Caenorhabditis elegans: one gene and its partners. The protein of the gene in region 1 purifies or fractionates together with the protein of each later gene. This does not show direct contact. Each region holds a gene or a part of one and is shown in the gene's direction. Other genes may lie near its edges. The genes, in order: msd-3, kin-18, cysl-2 and cyn-1.

Region 1 (3,326 bases):
TTCATTCTGGCAAAAAAAACGTGGTCACACTTCTAATTATCACGTTTAATCTTCCCCTCCCCCTCTCTCACTTTAAATAAAAAAGGAAAAAAAAGAGAAATATTCAATTATTTCTATTGTTTATCATCATGGATGTCTTCGATATTTTGATAAGTCAATATTGGACATTCCTGTCTGTTTTTCTGGTGAGTTTTAAAACCTTTTAGATATTGTTTTTACACAGTAGATGTGTTGGCATCATGCGCACATCGAAAATTGAATGTGTAAAGAATCCGTTATAATTTCAGAAAGTCTGTAAAATTATAACTAAACTTAACATTTCAGATTAGCATTTTAATGACAATTTGTGGCGGAAAAGTGCGCAGACAAAACTCGAAACCATCGAACGAAGACCAACAACAGCAACCTGTGTCTGAGCCAAACTACGATAAAACTCAAGATATCCAAACAGTTGAACTTCAAGAGGATCCACTTGCAAATGTTCGTCTTCTAACACCAACACTTCCTGGTGGATGTAATGATGAGAATGCGGCAAAAGAAGCTGCGCTCCGTCATAAAACCAATCAATACTTCCCAAAGTGGGAAATCCAAACACGGAGAATAACGAATGGGACCACGAAGGAAGAGATGAAGAAGATGGTTGCGCAATTGCCACAACATCCGAAACAACGGTACAGGAAGGAGTTGAGAGTTCCCGTGTTGGATAAGAGAAACGAAAAATGGAAAGAGTTAGTTTATCACAATTACAGATTTCAACGCGAAGATGCCTAAGCCTTAGCCAATGCCTACGCCTAAGCTGATATATCTTCATGCCTACATGCCTGCCTACATGCCTACATTCTTTTCTGATTTCCCGCTACCTGCCCTCGACCACCTGCTACTTCCCGGATAATCCTCTCGAAAGAAGTGTCTGCCTGCTTAGTGCCTACAAAGCGTAACTTTCCTGGAAGGCAGCACTTTTTTCAGAAGCCTTCTGATTTCACCCTAGTTTTGTATTGAGAGATGTTTAAGATACTGTCAATAATTGCCTAGAAATTGCCTAAGATAACCATTCGAGCTCGGCATGCGTGCCTGCCTATCTACCTACAATTGCAATTCTCAATTTCAGCGCCCATGTTCATTGGCGAGAGACTGGTTTGGCCTTTATTATCCGAAGCAATGATGCATGCCGATCGAAAGATGATGGAGGTTGTGACACGATCGATAGCCAAAATAGTAAAGAAGACCAGGAAAGATCGAAGGTTTGAATCAATTATTATTCATATGTGAAAAAATCTTGAAAATCTTCCAGGTGAACTCTGAAATGCCGTTGTCCGACAAGAAGCCCGACCGAAAACCGCAAGAAACACCTCGTCGCAGCAAACAACGGACTCCTGGTCCAATGATGCCTACTCAAAAATCATCCAAAAAATCAGCAAAAGAACGGAAATTGGAGCCAACTCAGGAGGAGACCATGAAGAGCGGCGGCGGTGGTGCAAAATCGGGACGAACTACTCCAAAGACAGCTGGAATGGCAACTGCAAATGCACCTTCGAATACAGAATCTGGAAAGTCGGTGTTTTCTGTTTGATTGTGATAATCTTGAATAATGGGATTTTGTTTAAATTGTTTTTTTTCAATTCAATTCAACAATAATTCAACAATAACAACAAAGTGAAGAAAGGGGAAAAATCAACAAAATAACAAAAAATTGATTCACACAACCAATGAAACGTTCTTCCCATCAGTAACCGCCGCACATTTTTGAAGTTTCTCATTTAAAATCGACTTGCACCAGCTGCGGAGAGCTCTTCAATTATGGCTTTTTCAGCTTTTTTCGTGGCAGCTGTTTCCTTCTTTACCGCTACGGCTGCTTCTTTTGGAGACTGGAAATTTTTTTATGAAATGTCTTCCCGTGAAAAAGTGTTCATTGTATTTTTCGAATATCCGCTGCAACCGGGTACTCCTTTCTTGACAAAAAAAATCGCGTATCTCAAAGTAACTCCTTTAGTGTCTATTAGTCAACAACTCAAGTAATTCCGAACCTTTAAAAGTGACATTCCAACTGAACACGTCATTGTTAGTTGACGCCAGTTAGCGGTGAATTTTTCATGTTATAGAAAATATATTTAATGACTTATTTATTTTAAATCCTTATATACATCGGAAAAAAACCTTTTTAAATTTACAAAAATATTTTTTTTTCTATATTTTTATTTTTTCCTTAACCTCTTCCACGTCTTCTCGAGAGCGTAAATAACTTTTAAAAAACTATATTTTCAAAAGGGAGCAGACAGTTGATATTAACAAACCTTTTTAAATTTACAAAAATATTTAAAATCAAAAGTTCACGAAAGGTCACTGGTTCATCTTGATAACGACTGCTATTCAGTTTATACAACTTTAACATAAAGTTTCAAAAAGATGTCTCTGACGGCCGATCCACCAGCGTGCACTGTTCCAGCTGCTGGAGGTGCTTCTACCCACAAACTTGTCAATGCTGGAGCTGAGAAGATGATCTTCAAGATCAAGTCTTCAAACAACAACGAATACCGCATCACTCCGGTCTTTGGATTCGTTGATCCATCTGGTTCAAAGGACATCACAATCACTCGTACTGCTGGAGCACCAAAAGAAGACAAGCTTGTTGTTCACTTTGCCGCTGCTCCGGCTGATGCAACTGATGCCCAAGCTGCGTTTGCTGCCATCACTCCAGCTGGAACCATTACAATTCCAATGTCGGCAACGGCTTAGACGTTTAAATCGACGAGTATGATGAGACATTTTGGAAAAAAGAGATTTGAATGTTTTGAATGAAATATTTGAATTGAAGTTTTTGGTTTTTATTATTTCACATTTGTTTCTTACTAGAACTGCTTAGTTTCAATAAGAAATCAAAGAATTTATCATAATTGTGGCTGAGAAAGTGCCCACTAAATATTTTAACCAGGAAATTGGCAGAGAAAGTGTCGAATCGACTGTAGTTGTGGAAGTTCACTAGATCATAATTCTAAGATCTCCGCTGCAACTACGTTCACCCGTTCGCCTTTTAATCACATTCGGATTGGTGCCCGTAGCTAACTTGGAAAAGTTATTAAATTAATAATTTAATTTAGACGGTGGCATTGGTGAAATGCTGTCTGTACATTTCTTCTCAATTCTGAATTCTGAATTTCTGAGCAATTTAATTGCCCGTAATTCATAAATTTCTGAATATGAGTAGTTTGACGGGAATAATCACAGATGCGATAACCATTTCTACACACAGACATAAAACTCAATATTCAGGTGAAAGCCACATTAGGAAATACTGTCTTAGGAGTCGGTGGAAGAAAACGATAGCTTCC
Region 2 (8,182 bases), on another chromosome or scaffold:
TCGGCATAATGTCTCGCCGTTTCTACGGCTTTTTCCGTTCGATCCCTCCAACACTATCATTTCAATACAATTATTTTCCTTATTTTTCCTTTACTTCTGCATTTCTTGAGTTATTTAAACAAAACTAGCTAAACATTAGCTACCATTTATGTCAACTGGCGTTTTCAGTTCTCTGCGCAACATTTTTCTAACTTTATTCCACCAAAACAGGTGTTTTTTAGTTTAACTGTTCCTTTTTCCTTTGTCCCTTCCATCTTAAAAGAGTTTGTTTCAAAATGGCAGCTAGATGCCCCGGGCGGTCTGATAAGAGAGGAGTTTCTGGCCATGACGGTGCAATCAGTTGAAATTAAAAATATAAAGAAAAAATCAACCGTAAATCGATAACTTTTCTGGTCTTTCTTCGTCTGAAACTTTAAGTTTCTTATCATCTCAACAAATTCTTCATTTTATTGTTTTATTGAGGCAATAAGTTGAATGGAAGTTGGAGAACAATGCCATCTTAAATTGATAATCAAATTCAACAACGCTGGAATTTTTTCCAAGTTTTATCAAATTTCATAGCGCTTAAATTCCTATCAAAAAATACTTGGACCAGGTTTTTAGTGCAAACAAATGAATCATAGATGGTGATAAAGTTCTCGTTTTGGAAGGTTTTAGAAGTCAACAAATAAATATTTCCGTGCTGATATCATTCACCCTGCGTCACCTTTTCTCTTTTAGGGAAAACTTGTTATGATTTTTTTGAAAATTCATTAAACACTTCAGAAGGATTGCTAGCAATATTGCTAAATGAAGACAGGGCTAATATTTGTGAATCATTTTCTCTTTCTTTTTAATTTTAAACTATTTTGCGAAATATACCACAAAAAATGTTTTTAGTTTCTTTTGTGTTTATACCTTCATAACTATTCAACTAGTAGCAACACTTTAATTCCATGCTCATGAATTGACTAGATACTATAAGTTTAAAACTTCACCGATCAGCTTGAGAGATCCATCCAAAATAAGCTCTTTTCCAATTTCATTCTCTTTTCCCAAAATCCTCCAATCTCTTTGAATTAAGCGCCAAATAAAGTGGCGGATAGCCGGCGGTATTTTGTGCGGATTGCACTATGTTTTTTTATCATCCGTAGCCTGCGTCTCTTTGCTATTTCTGTGTATCTCTAGTTCTCTACACAATGTCTTGGCTCGGCGCCCTTTTGCTCGTGTTTGCATTGAAGACGCGTCCTCCCCTTCTTTGACGACACTTTTCTCCCCTACTTTCCATGAGATCAATTGAATTCTATAAATATTCAAGTAGATCATCCAAATATTGGTAATTGATACAATATTTAGCTTGAACGGACTGTAGTAGTCCTGAACTTCAGTTCTAATAAAGTAATCCGCAAAAGGACTCTACAAAATGATTCTACAAAAAGTTCAGTCTACGATGTGTTATTGTTTTTGCAATTTTCAGATTACTTATTCTCTAGTTCTACTCCCATAATAAATAATGGAATAAATAGAAAAAAAGTAGTGAAAGAGAGGAGAAAAGTGTTGCCGATAATCCTCTCTCCGCCACAGGCGGCAACTTTCTGATGCAGACAGGAACAGAAAATATTGCGATTTTTTCTATTTTAATGTTGACTGTTTTGTCACGCGATTTTTGAGTTTTTGGTTTTGTAAAAGTGTTAGACATTTTATGTTTAAATATGATTATGTCAAAAGTAAGTCATGAGCCTTCAATTTAAAAAAATTCGAAAAATTTACAACACTTTTATCGGTTACTAACAGCGTATATGAATATAAAAAAATTACTTCTAACTTTCCTATTTTTTCAAATCGGCAACACTTGTATCCTATTTTACTCCTATTTTACTTTTTTTAATTCTAAACTCCCCATTTCGCTTCCTTTTCATGATTATCATAATTTTCAGAGTTTCTCACATCAACCAGTTGCATCCACAATTTTCTCGATATTATCTGCAAGGAATCCTCTGGCTAATGTGCTCTCTCCGATCGACGACGGCGACGCCATCCTCGATTTTTACTCATCCATCAACAACAAAATCAAACAAGACAAGAAAAACATCAGAAAATTTCAAAAATTAATAACAATACACATTTATTAATAATCAAAAATTCATTTTCGTTGGCGCCGCGCTTCTCGAATATACGGAGAACGGAGGAGGTGGTGGAGTTACGATGGCGCCTGCCGTCTTACAAAAACCCGGTGTTATCAAGGATCCATCGATTGCTGCATTGTTCAGTAATAAGGATCCAGAGCAGAGATATCAAGATTTAAGAGAAATTGGACATGGATCTTTTGGAGCTGTCTATTTTGTAAGTTTTCTGTTTAAAAAAATTAAATTCAGTTAATTTTCAAAAAATTACTGGTGCGAAATTTTGCCATTTTTGAGTGTGCGTCTTTAAAAAGTTCTGTAATTTCAAAATTCTGTTGTTTTGAATTTTTTATCGACACTTCATAATTTTCGATAGAAAAATGTATATTAATCGAAAAAAATTTAAAAATTAAATTGTTAGAAACCCTGTAAAAATCGATTGAGATTTTACAGCAACGAACATTTGAAATTACAGTACAGACCGGGTACCGTATTTTACCGAATATCGAAAATTTTCCGATTACTTATTTCTTTTCTTTATTTTTGAATAAAATAAATTTGAAATTATTTTCTCATTTTTTGGTTCAGGCGGCTTCAAACTTTCATTAAATGAAATAAAATATATTGTATTAAAATTTTTTTTTTCAGGCATATGACAAAAAAAATGAGCAGACTGTTGCGATTAAAAAGATGAATTTTAGTGGAAAACAGGCTGTCGAAAAATGGAATGATATTCTTAAAGAAGTGTCTTTTCTGAATACAGTTGTTCATCCACATATTGTCGACTACAAGGCTTGTTTTCTTAAGGACACTACATGTTGGGTGAGATTATTTAAAAACAAAAATAGTTTTTCTATAATGCTAAATATATCAAAACGTTTAAGCTAATATTCTCGATTTCAGCTTGTGATGGAGTACTGTATTGGCTCTGCAGCCGATATAGTGGATGTCTTGCGAAAAGGAATGCGAGAAGTCGAAATCGCTGCGATTTGCTCTCAAACTTTGGATGCTCTTCGATATCTTCACTCTCTGAAGCGAATACATCGAGATATTAAAGCTGGAAATATTCTGCTATCTGATCATGCTATTGTTAAACTAGGTAATTATATTAATTTATTTGGTTTTTCAAAACTTCATTGAATAATTATAGCTGATTTCGGATCCGCATCCCTGGTAGATCCGGCTCAAACTTTCATCGGAACGCCGTTTTTCATGGCCCCAGAGGTAATTCTGGCAATGGATGAGGGTCACTACACGGATCGTGCAGATATTTGGTCATTGGGTATCACGTGTATAGAGCTGGGTGAGAAATATTTTAAATTATACTTGATAATTAATTTTATTATTTATAGCCGAACGTCGTCCACCATTGTTCAGTATGAATGCAATGTCTGCCCTCTACCATATTGCTCAAAATGATCCTCCAACTCTTTCTCCAATTGACACTAGCGAACAACCGGAATGGTCGCTGGAATTCGTTCAATTTATAGACAAATGTCTTCGAAAACCAGCAGAAGAGCGAATGTCAGCTGAAGAATGCTTTCGACATCCATTCATTCAACGGTCTCGCCCATCAGACACAATTCAGGAACTCATTCAGAGAACGAAAAATATGGTATTAGAGTTGGATAATTTTCAATACAAAAAGATGAGAAAACTCATGTATTTGGATGAAACAGAAGGAAAAGAAGGAAGTGAAGGAAATGGAGCATCTGATGATTTAGATTTTCATGGAAATGAAGCTAATTCAATTGGAAGAGGTAGTTTTTAAAATTCAAAGTGAAAATATTAATATCTTGGAATAATTTTTATAATATTGCTTTAAACCCTCAGCTTTTTTTTGCAGACTCTATCCCTTAGTTGTTCGTTTTCCATCTATTCTCGTTTTCAGCAGGAGATTCTGCGTCATCTCGAAGTGCTTCTCTTACTTCTTTCCGATCAATGCAGAGTAGTGGAGGAGCTGGTCTTTTAGTGTCCACCAATACGACGGGTGCTATGGATAATGTGCATGGTACTGTACTGTTTTTTTTGTTTTAGGAATGGCTTTATTATTTCCTGCAAAGTTCAAAAATTCCATTTATTTTAGTTTTTCTCTCGAAATTCATCGCGCAACATTGAGAATCTTTCAAAATTTTCAGGATCCTCTGGATACGGTAATGGAAGTAGTTCGACGACGAGCTCCGCACGCCGCCGTCCTCCAATTCCTTCGCAAATGCTCTCTTCTACATCAACGTCTGGTGTTGGAACTATGCCGAGTCATGGATCAGTTGGAGCATCGATTACGGCGATCGCAGTCAATCCAACACCGTCTCCTTCAGAACCTATCCCAACATCACAACCAACATCGAAATCAGAATCATCTTCTATACTCGAAACTGCACACGATGATCCTTTGGACACGTCGATACGTGCTCCAGTGAAAGACTTGCATATGCCGCATCGAGCAGTCAAGGAACGAATAGCCACGTTGCAAAATCACAAATTCGCGACGCTTCGTTCCCAGAGAATAATCAATCAGGAACAAGAAGAATATACGAAAGAGAACAATATGTATGAGCAAATGAGCAAGTACAAGCATCTACGACAAGCACATCACAAAGAGCTCCAACAATTTGAAGAACGATGTGCATTAGATAGAGAGCAACTGCGTGTGAAAATGGATCGAGAACTCGAACAATTGACAACGACATACTCGAAAGAAAAGATGAGAGTGAGGTGTTCACAGAATAATGAACTAGACAAACGGAAAAAAGATATCGAAGATGGGGAGAAAAAGATGAAAAAGACGAAAAATAGTCAAAATCAGCAGCAGATGAAACTGTATTCAGCGCAACAATTGAAAGAATACAAGTATAACAAGGAGGCACAGAAAACAGTGAGAATTCACTTTTATTTGATTTCTGTAAAGAAATTATACGAAATTTAGACTTTATAAATTTTTAAATATGAAAGTTCTGGTCACTTTTTCAGCTGCTTCTCCACTTTTTTCAAAGTTTATTATTTAGTCTTGAATAATTTTTTAAAAAATGTCCTAAACCAAGAATTTTCAGCGATTACGAAGTCTGAACATGCCTCGAAGTACTTATGAGAACGCAATGAAAGAAGTGAAAGCCGATCTGAATCGAGTGAAAGATGCACGGGAAAATGATTTTGACGAGAAGCTTCGTGCAGAACTTGAAGATGAAATTGTAAGGTATCGCAGGCAACAACTCAGTAATCTTCATCAATTGGAAGAACAATTGGATGATGAAGTTAGTTTGGAGAATTTGATTTTAACCAGAAAATAAATTTAAAAGTTTCACTAATACAAGAAAAGTCGATTTTTTGAAAATTGAAAAACGAAACATTTTCCTTTTTTTAATCGAAAATCAACAATTCCCGGTTTTCGAGTTTTCATAAAGTATCTTTAAAAAATTGACCATTTTAATATTTTTTTGAAAGAAGTTTACATATTGTTTTGTTTTTTGTTAAGTTTTTTATCAACATAAACACGATTGGATGTTTAAAAAATTCGGAAAAATCTAAAATTCTAACATTTTTATTTTCCCCTGAAAAAAATCTATAATTTTTTCGATTAACTCCTTGACCAGAAAATCGTTTTTTCAAATTGTGAAATTCATATAACTTTAAAAAAAACTTGAGCCTTTCTTCAAGTATATAGATAAATATGAATTTCTTCCCAAAAATCGTCAACAGTTACTATTCAGTTTATATATTCAGGACGTAAACGTGCAAGAACGCCAAATGGACACGCGTCACGGATTACTGTCAAAGCAGCATGAAATGACGCGCGATTTGGAAATACAGCATCTCAACGAGCTTCACGCGATGAAAAAACGACATTTGGAGACACAACACGAGGCGGAATCGGCAAGTCAAAATGAGTACACACAGAGGCAACAGGATGAATTGAGAAAAAAGCATGCGATGCAGTCAAGACAACAGCCAAGAGATTTAAAGGTATTTTTGAATTGTGGAGAAGATTTGATTTAGTTTATTCCTGAATATTTTCAGATCCAAGAAGCACAAATTCGAAAACAATACCGACAAGTTGTGAAGACTCAGACTCGCCAATTTAAGCTCTACCTTACACAAATGGTGCAAGTAGTTCCAAAAGATGAACAAAAAGAGCTCACGTCTCGACTAAAACAGGATCAAATGCAAAAAGTCGCACTTCTTGCTTCACAATACGAAAGTCAAATCAAAAAAATGGTTCAGGATAAGACAGTGAAGCTCGAGTCGTGGCAAGAAGATGAACAACGGGTTCTTAGTGAGAAGTTGGAGAAAGAATTGGAAGAATTGATTGCTTATCAGAAGAAGACGAGAGCCACATTAGAAGAGCAGATTAAAAAGGTGAGCGGAAATGTATACAACATTCTAACATTTGTGCTGAAAACTTTTTTTTTTGAGTTTTGAAGAAAATTGGAAAACTGAACTAGCTCCACTACTTCAACTAAATTTATATTTTCAGGAACGTACGGCACTCGAAGAACGAATTGGCACACGACGTGCAATGCTTGAACAGAAGATTATTGAAGAACGCGAACAAATGGGAGAAATGCGTCGACTAAAGAAGGAGCAAATCCGTGATCGACACAGTCAAGAACGCCATCGTCTCGAGAATCATTTCGTACGGACGGGCTCGACGAGCAGAAGTTCTGGTGGGATCGCTCCTGGTGTTGGGAATTCAAGCAGTATTCAGATGGCTATGTAGAATGATGTTGTCTCTTAATTCTACTACACTTCGGGTCGTCTACCAATTGTTTTCTTTTTTTGTCGTTTTATACAAAATGTATGCTTGTATGGACAATTAATTGATAGTATCTTCCAAATATCTTCCATCTAATTACGGTTCCAGTTCGTCTTTTTCTATGTTTTTTCTGCACCACCCTCATTCTCTCACTTTCTCCATGTCTTCTCCCTTCTTTTTTAGCTCCCAAAATCCAATTCTTCTGTGATAGATGAAAACCACGGCTAAACCCAATGGGGTACGGTATCCCGATCTCCGGGATACAGTAACCCCGAAAATACGTGCAATACTTCTCAACTATACCCAATTTTTCGTTCCTCACCTTCTCTTCCTAATTTCATTCAGAAACGAAACTTTAATCGGTGCTCTCAACGTTGTTTTCTCTATTTTCTCTAATATTTATAGTCTATTTGATATCTGAACCCCATCATCATATCATATATTCCAATATATCTCCTTCTCTTCTAATTTACTTATAAATATATTATAAAACTTTAATTATTTAGAAAATGCATTAACTTTAAATAACAAGAAAAAAAAAATTACAACTTTTCTGCAGAAAAGTTGTAATTTCTTATTTTTATATTTTAAGTTTTTTTGCAGATGATTTATGTAAAATAATAATTTTGGGTCGGTTTCCATAAATTGGAAATGAAAGAGTTGTTGAAAATGAAGGGAAGGTGAAAAAACATCTATGAGGGGCCCTAATCGTAACACACTGAATTTATGAAAGGGACATTAACAAAAACATGAGAATTTATCAGTTTATAAAAAATATTCTAACACTAAATAAAATTGAATTATAGCTTTCGAACGGGAAGGTTTCAAGATGAAAAATGAGCGGGGGGTTTCAGGGATTTCATATAAAAATTGTATTGAATAATAGAAAAGTAGAAATTTTTGATGGGAATGGGCGCAATTGGTGGGTAATCTTTGTTTTTTTTGTTGACTTGAGAGGAATAACATAAAATATTTAGAAAAATATAAACCAATAGAATATATAATAATTCCTACAACACACAAATCAAGGTATGAAGAATAAAGGTAATGGTAGAGACGGAGAGAATAGGCTACAAAACAAAATTTAAAAGATTTAAAAAAAAACAAAAAAAATCCAAAAAAACTTGTATTCTGAGTTGACTTTTATAAACGACGACTTGTTCATATCTCGGCTACCCAATAGAGAACAAAACACTGAAACTTCTTATTCTTCTTCCAAAAACGGAAAATATCACACACTGGGGGGAGCTGATGGGGGCAGATTTAACAAATAATGACGTCATCATTTATGTTTTGAAGCCGGCGTTGAGCACTGTGTTGACGAAACGGG
Region 3 (4,496 bases), on another chromosome or scaffold:
CAAACCGTAAAAAAATGTAAAATCGATTGAAAATTGAAATTACAGTACTCTTTAAAGGCGCACACCTTTTCGAATTTAACAAAAATTGATGTGGCGAGACCGGGTAACGTATTTTCGCCGAAAAATTGTTGAATTTAAGATAATTTTATGCAAGTATGGGAGTATTATGAAAGATTGTTAAATGTTTTTTATCTGAATTTTTACGATTGGGTTGGCTGTAAGAATTTTAAGATGTTTTTTTTTTAACTTTCAGATTGTATTTTTTACCAGGGGTGGGCGGAAACCGTTTTTTTCCGACAAACGACAAATAGGTAATTTGCAGAAAATGACAATTTCCGGCAAATCGGCAAACCGGATCTATTTGCCGAAAAACGGCAATTGCAGAAATTTTCGGCAAATTGTGGTTTAGCACACTTTTTCGGGAAATTTCAGAATTTCTCTTTTAATCGGCAAAATTGTACTTATCATGAATGCTCCTACATCTATTCTGAAAAGTAAGCAAATTCTATGAAAATAATATTAATTTTCAAAATGGCTCAGTTTTAAGTATTTCCGTCTTAAAAAACACACTTCCGGCAAATTGACATCCGGCAATTTGCGGGAATTGAGAAATTCCGGCAAATTGGGAAACCGGCATTTTGTTGACTTGCCAAATTTGCGGAGAAAAGCTTGCCAAACGGCAATGGCCGCCCACCTCTGATTCCTACCTCTAAAGAGCTCTGAAAAGAAAAATTGCAAGAATCCGCTTCTGGAGCTATTCTATCGGCCTTCAGTTGGGTTCTTGAAAATATATTCACCTAAAATATTTCAGAATAGGTGCACATGTTTCCAGATGCACATGTCTTCTGGTGTTCCCCCTTTCAGAAATAATAAAATTCCATAAAACAATCTTCAATATGTCACGTACTCACTTTGATCTTATCATCCTCTCGATTAGCAGTTCAGATCATAGAACAGACTATTTGAGACACAGACACCCAATCAAATGTTTTCAAGTGATGATTTCCTAGTTCTCATCATATGGAGCAAATATGGGCGGTGCTTATAGTCCAAAAACACACGTTCATTTCACAGCGGATGGAAGTATAAAAGGTGAAGTTTGGAATCTGATGAAACATGTCTTCTGGTTTTGCACTTTTTTGTAGAAATTGTTACCTCAAGTGTGAAAGTACTTTACTAATGTGTTCCCGGCGAAAAATGATTTTAATTGGACCGTCTTTTTTTCATAGAAACCATCCAGAATTCCAGTAGTGAAAGTTCACAAGTTTCAGATAAATTTTAGGGTATTTACAGTAAAAGAAACTAAATAATTTTTTTGAAAATTTCAAAAATCTCGGATATTTTAATTGTTAAATTCGATCATCTTACAATTAGACTTCTATTAGTAAAGGCGCACACTATTTTTATCAGCTTTATTAAAGATAGGGATTCCATTTAGGCTTTAAAAAGGCAGGCGTCAAGCCCTGAAACCGAGCCTGCTTACCATGGATGCCCTACTCAATCGTAAATCGAAATAAAATAATATGTATAACTAATTTTCAAAGGTTTGTATTACGGGAACACAGTTCTGAGAATGCGCATTTACGGGCTCGATTTTTGAAATTCTGTTCATAAATAAATTATTTTAACTCATTCCGAAAATCGTGCCCGTAAATCGACACCATCACTACAGTAATCACTGAAAGAATAGTTTTCGCTACGTGATATTTTGTGCGTCAAATATGGTGTGCAAAACGCATTTTCAGAATTTTGTGTTCCCGTAATATCAATTTGATCTTCCGCGTCTACCAATAGATCAAATTACTTTGATACCAAGAAAAATGATGACAATAACTGCCGCCCGCCCTTATCGTTTACTCATCTCGCACGTATTATTGTTTTCTACCTGATTGGTCTTCATTTCTTATCACTATCGTTATATCTTTTCGTTAATTTTGTTCTTATTCTTTTTTATTACGCTTTTTGTTGAAAAGTTCGTCTTTTTGCAACATTATAGTGTAGTGGATTTAATTACTCCCTTTATTTGAATTCCTGCGAAAAATCTTTTTAAAACTCTTATTCCATTTTTTTTTTCAGAGTATTAGTTATCCTCTGCCAATCAACTCATCATGTCCCGCGAACTTATGGTCGAAACCGGTGGTGAGCTCATCGGAAACACCCCACTCCTGAAGCTCAACAAGATCGGAAAGGATCTCGGTGCATCGATTGCCGTCAAGGTAGAGTACATGAACCCTGCCTGCTCGGTCAAGGATCGTATCGCGTTCAACATGATCGACACAGCTGAGAAGGCCGGGCTCATCACCCCCGGCAAAACTGTGCTCATTGAGCCAACCAGTGGAAACATGGGAATTGCGTTGGCCTACTGCGGAAAACTTCGTGGGTACAAAGTTATTCTTACGATGCCAGCGTCGATGAGTATTGAGAGAAGGTGTCTGTTAAAGGCCTACGGTGCTGAGGTGATTCTTACCGATCCAGCGACCGCGGTCAAAGGAGCTGTCCAAAGAGCCGAAGAGCTTCGCGATGTGATTCCAAATGCGTATATCTTGAACCAATTCGGAAATCCAGCAAATCCAGAAGCCCATTATAAGACTACAGGACCAGAAATTTGGAGGCAGACACAGGGCAAGGTTGATATCGTATGCTTCGGAGTTGGATCAGGTGGAACTTGCACTGGAGTCGGACGATTCTTGAAGGAGAAGAACCCAAGTGTTCAAGTGTTCCCAGTTGAGCCATTTGAGAGTTCTGTGATCAATGGACTTCCACATAGCCCACACAAAATTCAAGGTGAGCATTTTTTTTCCAAATTTTCGGGGCTGGGGAATTGTAAATCAAACAAAAAAAAGTCGATGCACCATGTCAAAAACGGTTATATTTTCTATTTCCAGGCATGGGAACCGGAATGATTCCTGACATCCTCGACTTGACCCTTTTCTCCGAGGCTCTGCGAGTTCATTCCGATGATGCTATTGCAATGGCCAAGAAGCTTGCCGACGAGGAGTCGATTTTGGGTGGAATCTCGTCTGGAGCCAACGTGTGCGCTGCAGTTCAGTTGGCCAAGCGACCGGAGAATAAGGGGAAACTAATTGTCACCACAGTTAACAGTTTTGGAGAACGCTATCTGTAAGTTTTATATTCAATATTATTGCAGAATTTTCAGTTTTTTCCATGAAAAAAATGTAGGGCTTTCATGGGCGGTAGGCGCGGTTTCAGGACCTGACGCCTGCCTCCAACCTCGAAAGTAATAATTTAACAATGAAATTAAACTCCAAATAGACCTTCCCAAAAACTGTAAAAACCCGAAAAATTGAAAAAGTTCAAGAAAATTCGAAAGCCAAGAATTGGGCGGGGCTCAATTTTGGTCACATTGGGTAAATGTTGTTTCTATAATTTGAAAATATAAAACTTTCTCGGGAATCTTTGTCTCAGATATTAAATATTTCAAAATAAGCCCCGCCCAATACTTGGCTATTTCAGTTCAACCGCCCTCTACGCCGAGCTCCGTGATAACGCCGCCAACATGAAACAGTTGAACCTCGACGATTCCATCAAGATTGCCAAAGAATACCTAGGAATTTAAACTTTCGAATTTCATATTGTGTGAAAATGTTTCATTCCAAAAAATGTTGTTTTGGAAAATAAATAAATTTATTTAAAAAAGACATGAATATTACACATTTCGTACAATGAAAAGACTTCAAAAACCCGGATAAACTATGAATCACTGAAAATTGAGTGGGTGTGGGGAAGGGTGAACACAGACAATTCGAAGAGGGGTGGGGGAAGAAAAATGAGAAGAGGCAAGTTTATAGTTCAGAGGGGAAATGAGAAGAAGAAGAAAAGACCGATAACAAAAATTATGAAACAAGAATAAAGAAGAAGAAGAAAACTATTTTTCAAAAGTAAATCTTCGGATTCACTTCAAGAATTTTTGAAAAAAAAGTTAATGCACATGAAACAAATAATTAAATAATCTTCTGTCCAGTGCCCAGAAGTGTATAAACCATAGCTCCAACAACACACTGAGCCGCCGTCACAACGAACACGTACGACCAGTTGTTATTCGTGGCTTCCAGGATGTGACCAGCAATGTAGACACCGACGAATCCGGTGATGGCGCCGCAGGCATTGAAAACTCCTGAAAAATGGTTATTTTAATATAACTTCTTTTTTGTTTTTTTCAGGCATCAATCTGGTGGGATTCCGGATCTAAAAAAATATTTTTTCGCCAAATCAGCAATTTGCTAGAAATGCAAAGTTTGATATTTTTGGCAATCAGAAAAAACTTTCGTGCTCATGTTCAGAAGAAGTCTACCCTTACCAAAAACAGATCCCGCATGATTTGGTGCAAAATCGTGTGGATTTACGGAAACACCACCGTGGTGTAGCCCTCTGGCAGCCATTGCCATAGTGAATATGATCAATGATATCCAGAACGATGATGTCATTGGTACTAGCATCAAACAGAATGCGATTCCCAGTAGACTGGCTCCTTCCAT
Region 4 (3,541 bases), on another chromosome or scaffold:
TTAAAATTGATTCTCTTGTTTGTTTCTGTTTTCGCCTCCCCGCTAGATTCTGTTCAGTTTTGCTGAGCGTGTACTTTTTAGTTAAAAGTATATGTTTTTCCTTGATCCCCTCACCCAATTCGCCTCCTTTCTCTACTTTTATCCTCTTTAAAGTGTTTGATTGATTTGACATTCCAAATTTCAGATATTTATTGCACCTTTTTTCTCTTTTGTAGATTTCTAAACTTCAAAAAATTCCAACCACACACAATGTATCTGGTCGCCTTACAACTCCCGTTTTAAACAACAATTTCACTTATATTAATCAATATTTTTGGTATTCTTCTTGTTGAATAGACTACTTTACTTGTGCCCTTCCATTTCTTTTTTTGCGACAACCAACCCGTATAGTCTTACGAACCACGTTTTACTGTGTTGTGATATGTATAATACTTTTGAGACACACCAATTCAACTATAGCAATAAACTTTAGGAAAATCACAAATATCTCGCACGCAGGTCTCGTTTTCAAAATGGAATTGGATTCGGTGAAGCAGCAACAACAGCAGAACGCTTGCTGTGAATATATTCTACCAATTAAGAAGCGACGGTGTAAGATGCTGGTGAAAAAGGGAAATCGGTTCTGTGGAGAGCATTCAATTCACGATCAGAATAACACTGATCGTATGGTTTGCCCGAATGATGGAAAACATACGATTCTGAAGGCAGATCTAGAGATTCATCTGACAAGGTGTAATTCTAGAATCAGAGATGCAGAATATATCAAAATTGATGCAAATTCTATTCGTGGCGAGACCAAACGCACCGATAAAATTGATCGAAGAGCCACTGAAGATGAGATTTGTACCACTGTGCACAAGATCTGGAAGTGCTATGAGACGGATGTAATGGATCGTTTGATTGTTGAGCAACAAAGAAATGAGCTCGTCGAGCAAAATATCGCACAAAATTCAGATCTGAACAACACGAAAAAGAAGCAATTATACCAGATTTCGTCTATTTTAGGTTTTATAAAATGCATTTCCATTTTAATAATTTTCTTTTCAGGTCACATCGAATCCACAGGGCTACTTCCAACTTGCTCCAAATCTTGCATGTTCGAGCTCGGAGCTGGAAAAGGTCAACTAGCTTATTGGATCTCCAAAGCAGCGCCAAATGGAAATTATATTCTCATGGATCGCTCTGGATCACGAAATAAATTTGATACTGCTGCATTTCGAGAGAATCCGAATTTATCAATGAAACGCTTCCGATGCTCAATTGAACATATGGACTTGAGCAAGATTGATGAGCTGAAGGTGAGTTTTACAGTTTTTATCCAAAAAAATCTTTATCTTTTTTTAGAACTCTGAAAAGATTTTGGCAATCTGTAAACATTTTTGTGGAAGCGCGACAGACGCTGGAATTCGATCGTTGATGAATAGTGGTCTACAATTCAACGCTGCACTTCTGATCCCTTGTTGCCATCACAAATCGCGATTCGCAGAATATGGAGGACATGATTTTTTGGAGAAATGGGAAATGAATGATGAAGCTTCGTTTGCTGCACTTCGATATATTGCATCGTTTGCAACAAATGGAGCAGTTGATACAGAAGCAACTGAAGGATGGAAGTCAATTCATCCGCCATTAGAGCTTGGACGAAGAGCGAAAGCCATCCTTGAAATCGGACGAGCAATTTGGCTGGAAAGTGTTGGATTCAAGACGAGAGTTGTAGAATACGTGCCGCCAGAAGTATCACCGGAAAATTTATTGATTTTAGCTTTGAAATAAGATCACGCATTTAATAAAATGATTTGTAATATTTTTTAATAAATAGATCGAAACAAATTGAACATTTAATCAAATAAATATACAAAATTTTATTAATTTCGAACAAAAATTAGAATCTATGCGATACCTACACATTCTAAACCACGCGCCTTTAAATAGTACGGTGGGATATTTGACAAAAATTGTTATTATTTGAATTACCTCGCAAATCTCTTGGCGTTTTTCGCGTGCACGAGAAACGCGCAAGCAAAGAATTTGATTGCGCTTTGTCAGATTAGTATTTATTTTATTTTCTTTTTCACTTTAAATTCAATCCTATGGCTTTGTTCTGCACGTTTTTGAATTAGTTTTGTTTCTTTTTTCAGGTAAAATGAAATTTCTACTCCGTGCCTCCTCACTTGCCGGTCAATCACTTCGATTCGCCTCTCAAAGACCGAAGGTGTTTTTCGACGTGAGTATTGGAGAAGAACCAGCAGGACGTGTCACCATGGAGTTGTTCAACGATGTTGTCCCAAAAACAGCAGAGAATTTCCGCGCATTGTGCACCGGTGAGAAGGGCGTCGGAGAGCAAGGAGTTGCACTTCACTTCAAGGGATCAAAATTCCACAGAATCATTCCAGAGTTCATGATTCAGGTAATTTTTAGTTTCGAACTATGAGTTTTAACTATTTTTCATTAACATTATTCAATTCTTCAGGGAGGAGATTTCACTCGCCACAACGGAACTGGTGGTGAATCAATCTACGGAAATAAATTCAAGGACGAGAATTTCGATCTTAAGCACACCGGACCAGGATGCCTTTCAATGGCCAACGCTGGACCAAACACCAACGGATCTCAGTTTTTCATTTGCACAGTCGACACTCCATGGCTTGATGGAGGTCACGTCGTTTTCGGACAAGTCACCGACGGCATGTCTGTTGTGAAGAAGATCGAAAAGATGGGATCCCGATCCGGAGCCCCAGCCAAGACTGTCACAATCGCCGATTGCGGAGAGTTGAAGAGCGAGTAACTTCATTGTTTTTTTTGTTTCAAAAATATTTTTCATTAGCGTTAGCAAATTGTTATTATTTTTTAATTAATTGTTTTTAATTAGTAAAGTTTTAGTTTTTTTTCGAAAAATAACTGGAAAAAATTAAGTCTTACAGATTTATTTTCTACCAGAAAAGTGAAAAGCAAAAGCAATGGTCTATAAAAATTCACCAGAAGACTCAATATCATCTGCCGATGTACAATATTCACACGTCTTCGCACAAATTTTACGAAAAAGTGGAGAATAGGCTCTATGTGTGCACAACTTCTGATTCCTCTCACAATCTGATGCTCGATCCACGCATTCTGCAGTATCAGTCATTTCCGATGAGATATTTTCAATTCTTTTCGAGAACCTTCGCGGTTTCTTTTCCATGAACGTCGTGGGAGTTGTTGCATTTCTCAGAAGATCAATCACATTGTCAACTATTTTCAACTCTTCCAATTTTTGAACAGTTTTTTCACCCATTTCTAAATATTTCAGAATATGTTTAAACAGGTCGGAAGAAGCTTACTGGATTTCAAATGCGAAATATGAATTTCCCGGCTATCCTCTGTTTCCTCTTCTTCGTACTCGTCATCGTCAACACAAAATTTGCAGGTTTTTGCACATCTGAAATTGCATTTAAAAAGTTAATAATACACTAATTGGCCTCGACGCGACAAATTTTTGTTAATTTTAATGGTGCGTCCATAGTCTGCGGAAAACGGGAATTTCCCGCGTGCGGAAGCGTCC

The links.
Region 2: the proteins of msd-3 (region 1) and kin-18 fractionate together in Caenorhabditis elegans (co-fractionation; one large-scale study listed by BioGRID). This does not show direct contact.
Region 3: the proteins of msd-3 (region 1) and cysl-2 fractionate together in Caenorhabditis elegans (co-fractionation; one large-scale study listed by BioGRID). This does not show direct contact.
Region 4: the proteins of msd-3 (region 1) and cyn-1 fractionate together in Caenorhabditis elegans (co-fractionation; one large-scale study listed by BioGRID). This does not show direct contact.

The regions. Positions count from the first base shown.
Region 1 is NC_003282.8:10,033,235-10,036,560, forward strand, and holds msd-3 (MSP domain-containing protein), read left to right. Parts: upstream 1-2,403; coding exon 2,404-2,733; downstream 2,734-3,326. Other genes in the region: F44D12.6 (CDI domain-containing protein), read left to right, coding at 129-185, 325-728, 1,109-1,241, 1,292-1,570.
Region 2 is NC_003281.10:6,116,711-6,124,892, forward strand, and holds kin-18 (Serine/threonine-protein kinase SULU), read left to right. Parts: upstream 1-1,916; 5' UTR 1,917-2,184; coding exon 2,185-2,322; intron 2,323-2,750; coding exon 2,751-2,924; intron 2,925-3,005; coding exon 3,006-3,201; intron 3,202-3,252; coding exon 3,253-3,405; intron 3,406-3,454; coding exon 3,455-3,862; intron 3,863-3,993; coding exon 3,994-4,113; intron 4,114-4,240; coding exon 4,241-4,977; intron 4,978-5,152; coding exon 5,153-5,353; intron 5,354-5,822; coding exon 5,823-6,062; intron 6,063-6,116; coding exon 6,117-6,455; intron 6,456-6,573; coding exon 6,574-6,816; 3' UTR 6,817-7,355; downstream 7,356-8,182. Other genes in the region: mvk-1 (GHMP kinase C-terminal domain-containing protein), read right to left, coding at 8,135-8,182. UniProt on the Caenorhabditis elegans protein: Acts as a negative regulator of cortical contractions during early embryonic cell division, possibly by regulating rho-1-dependent actomyosin contractility.
Region 3 is NC_003280.10:14,492,032-14,496,527, reverse strand, and holds cysl-2 (Bifunctional L-3-cyanoalanine synthase/cysteine synthase), read left to right. Parts: upstream 1-2,076; 5' UTR 2,077-2,108; coding exon 2,109-2,784; intron 2,785-2,885; coding exon 2,886-3,120; intron 3,121-3,474; coding exon 3,475-3,577; 3' UTR 3,578-3,654; downstream 3,655-4,496. Other genes in the region: vnut-1 (Major facilitator superfamily (MFS) profile domain-containing protein), read right to left, coding at 3,963-4,135, 4,319-4,496.
Region 4 is NC_003283.11:14,353,938-14,357,478, forward strand, and holds cyn-1 (Peptidyl-prolyl cis-trans isomerase 1), read left to right. Parts: upstream 1-2,138; 5' UTR 2,139-2,143; coding exon 2,144-2,407; intron 2,408-2,470; coding exon 2,471-2,785; 3' UTR 2,786-2,884; downstream 2,885-3,541. Other genes in the region: Y49A3A.3 (tRNA:m(4)X modification enzyme TRM13), read left to right, coding at 513-1,005, 1,048-1,298, 1,345-1,773; Y49A3A.4 (ShKT domain-containing protein), read right to left, coding at 2,963-3,276, 3,321-3,418. UniProt on the Caenorhabditis elegans protein: PPIases accelerate the folding of proteins. It catalyzes the cis-trans isomerization of proline imidic peptide bonds in oligopeptides.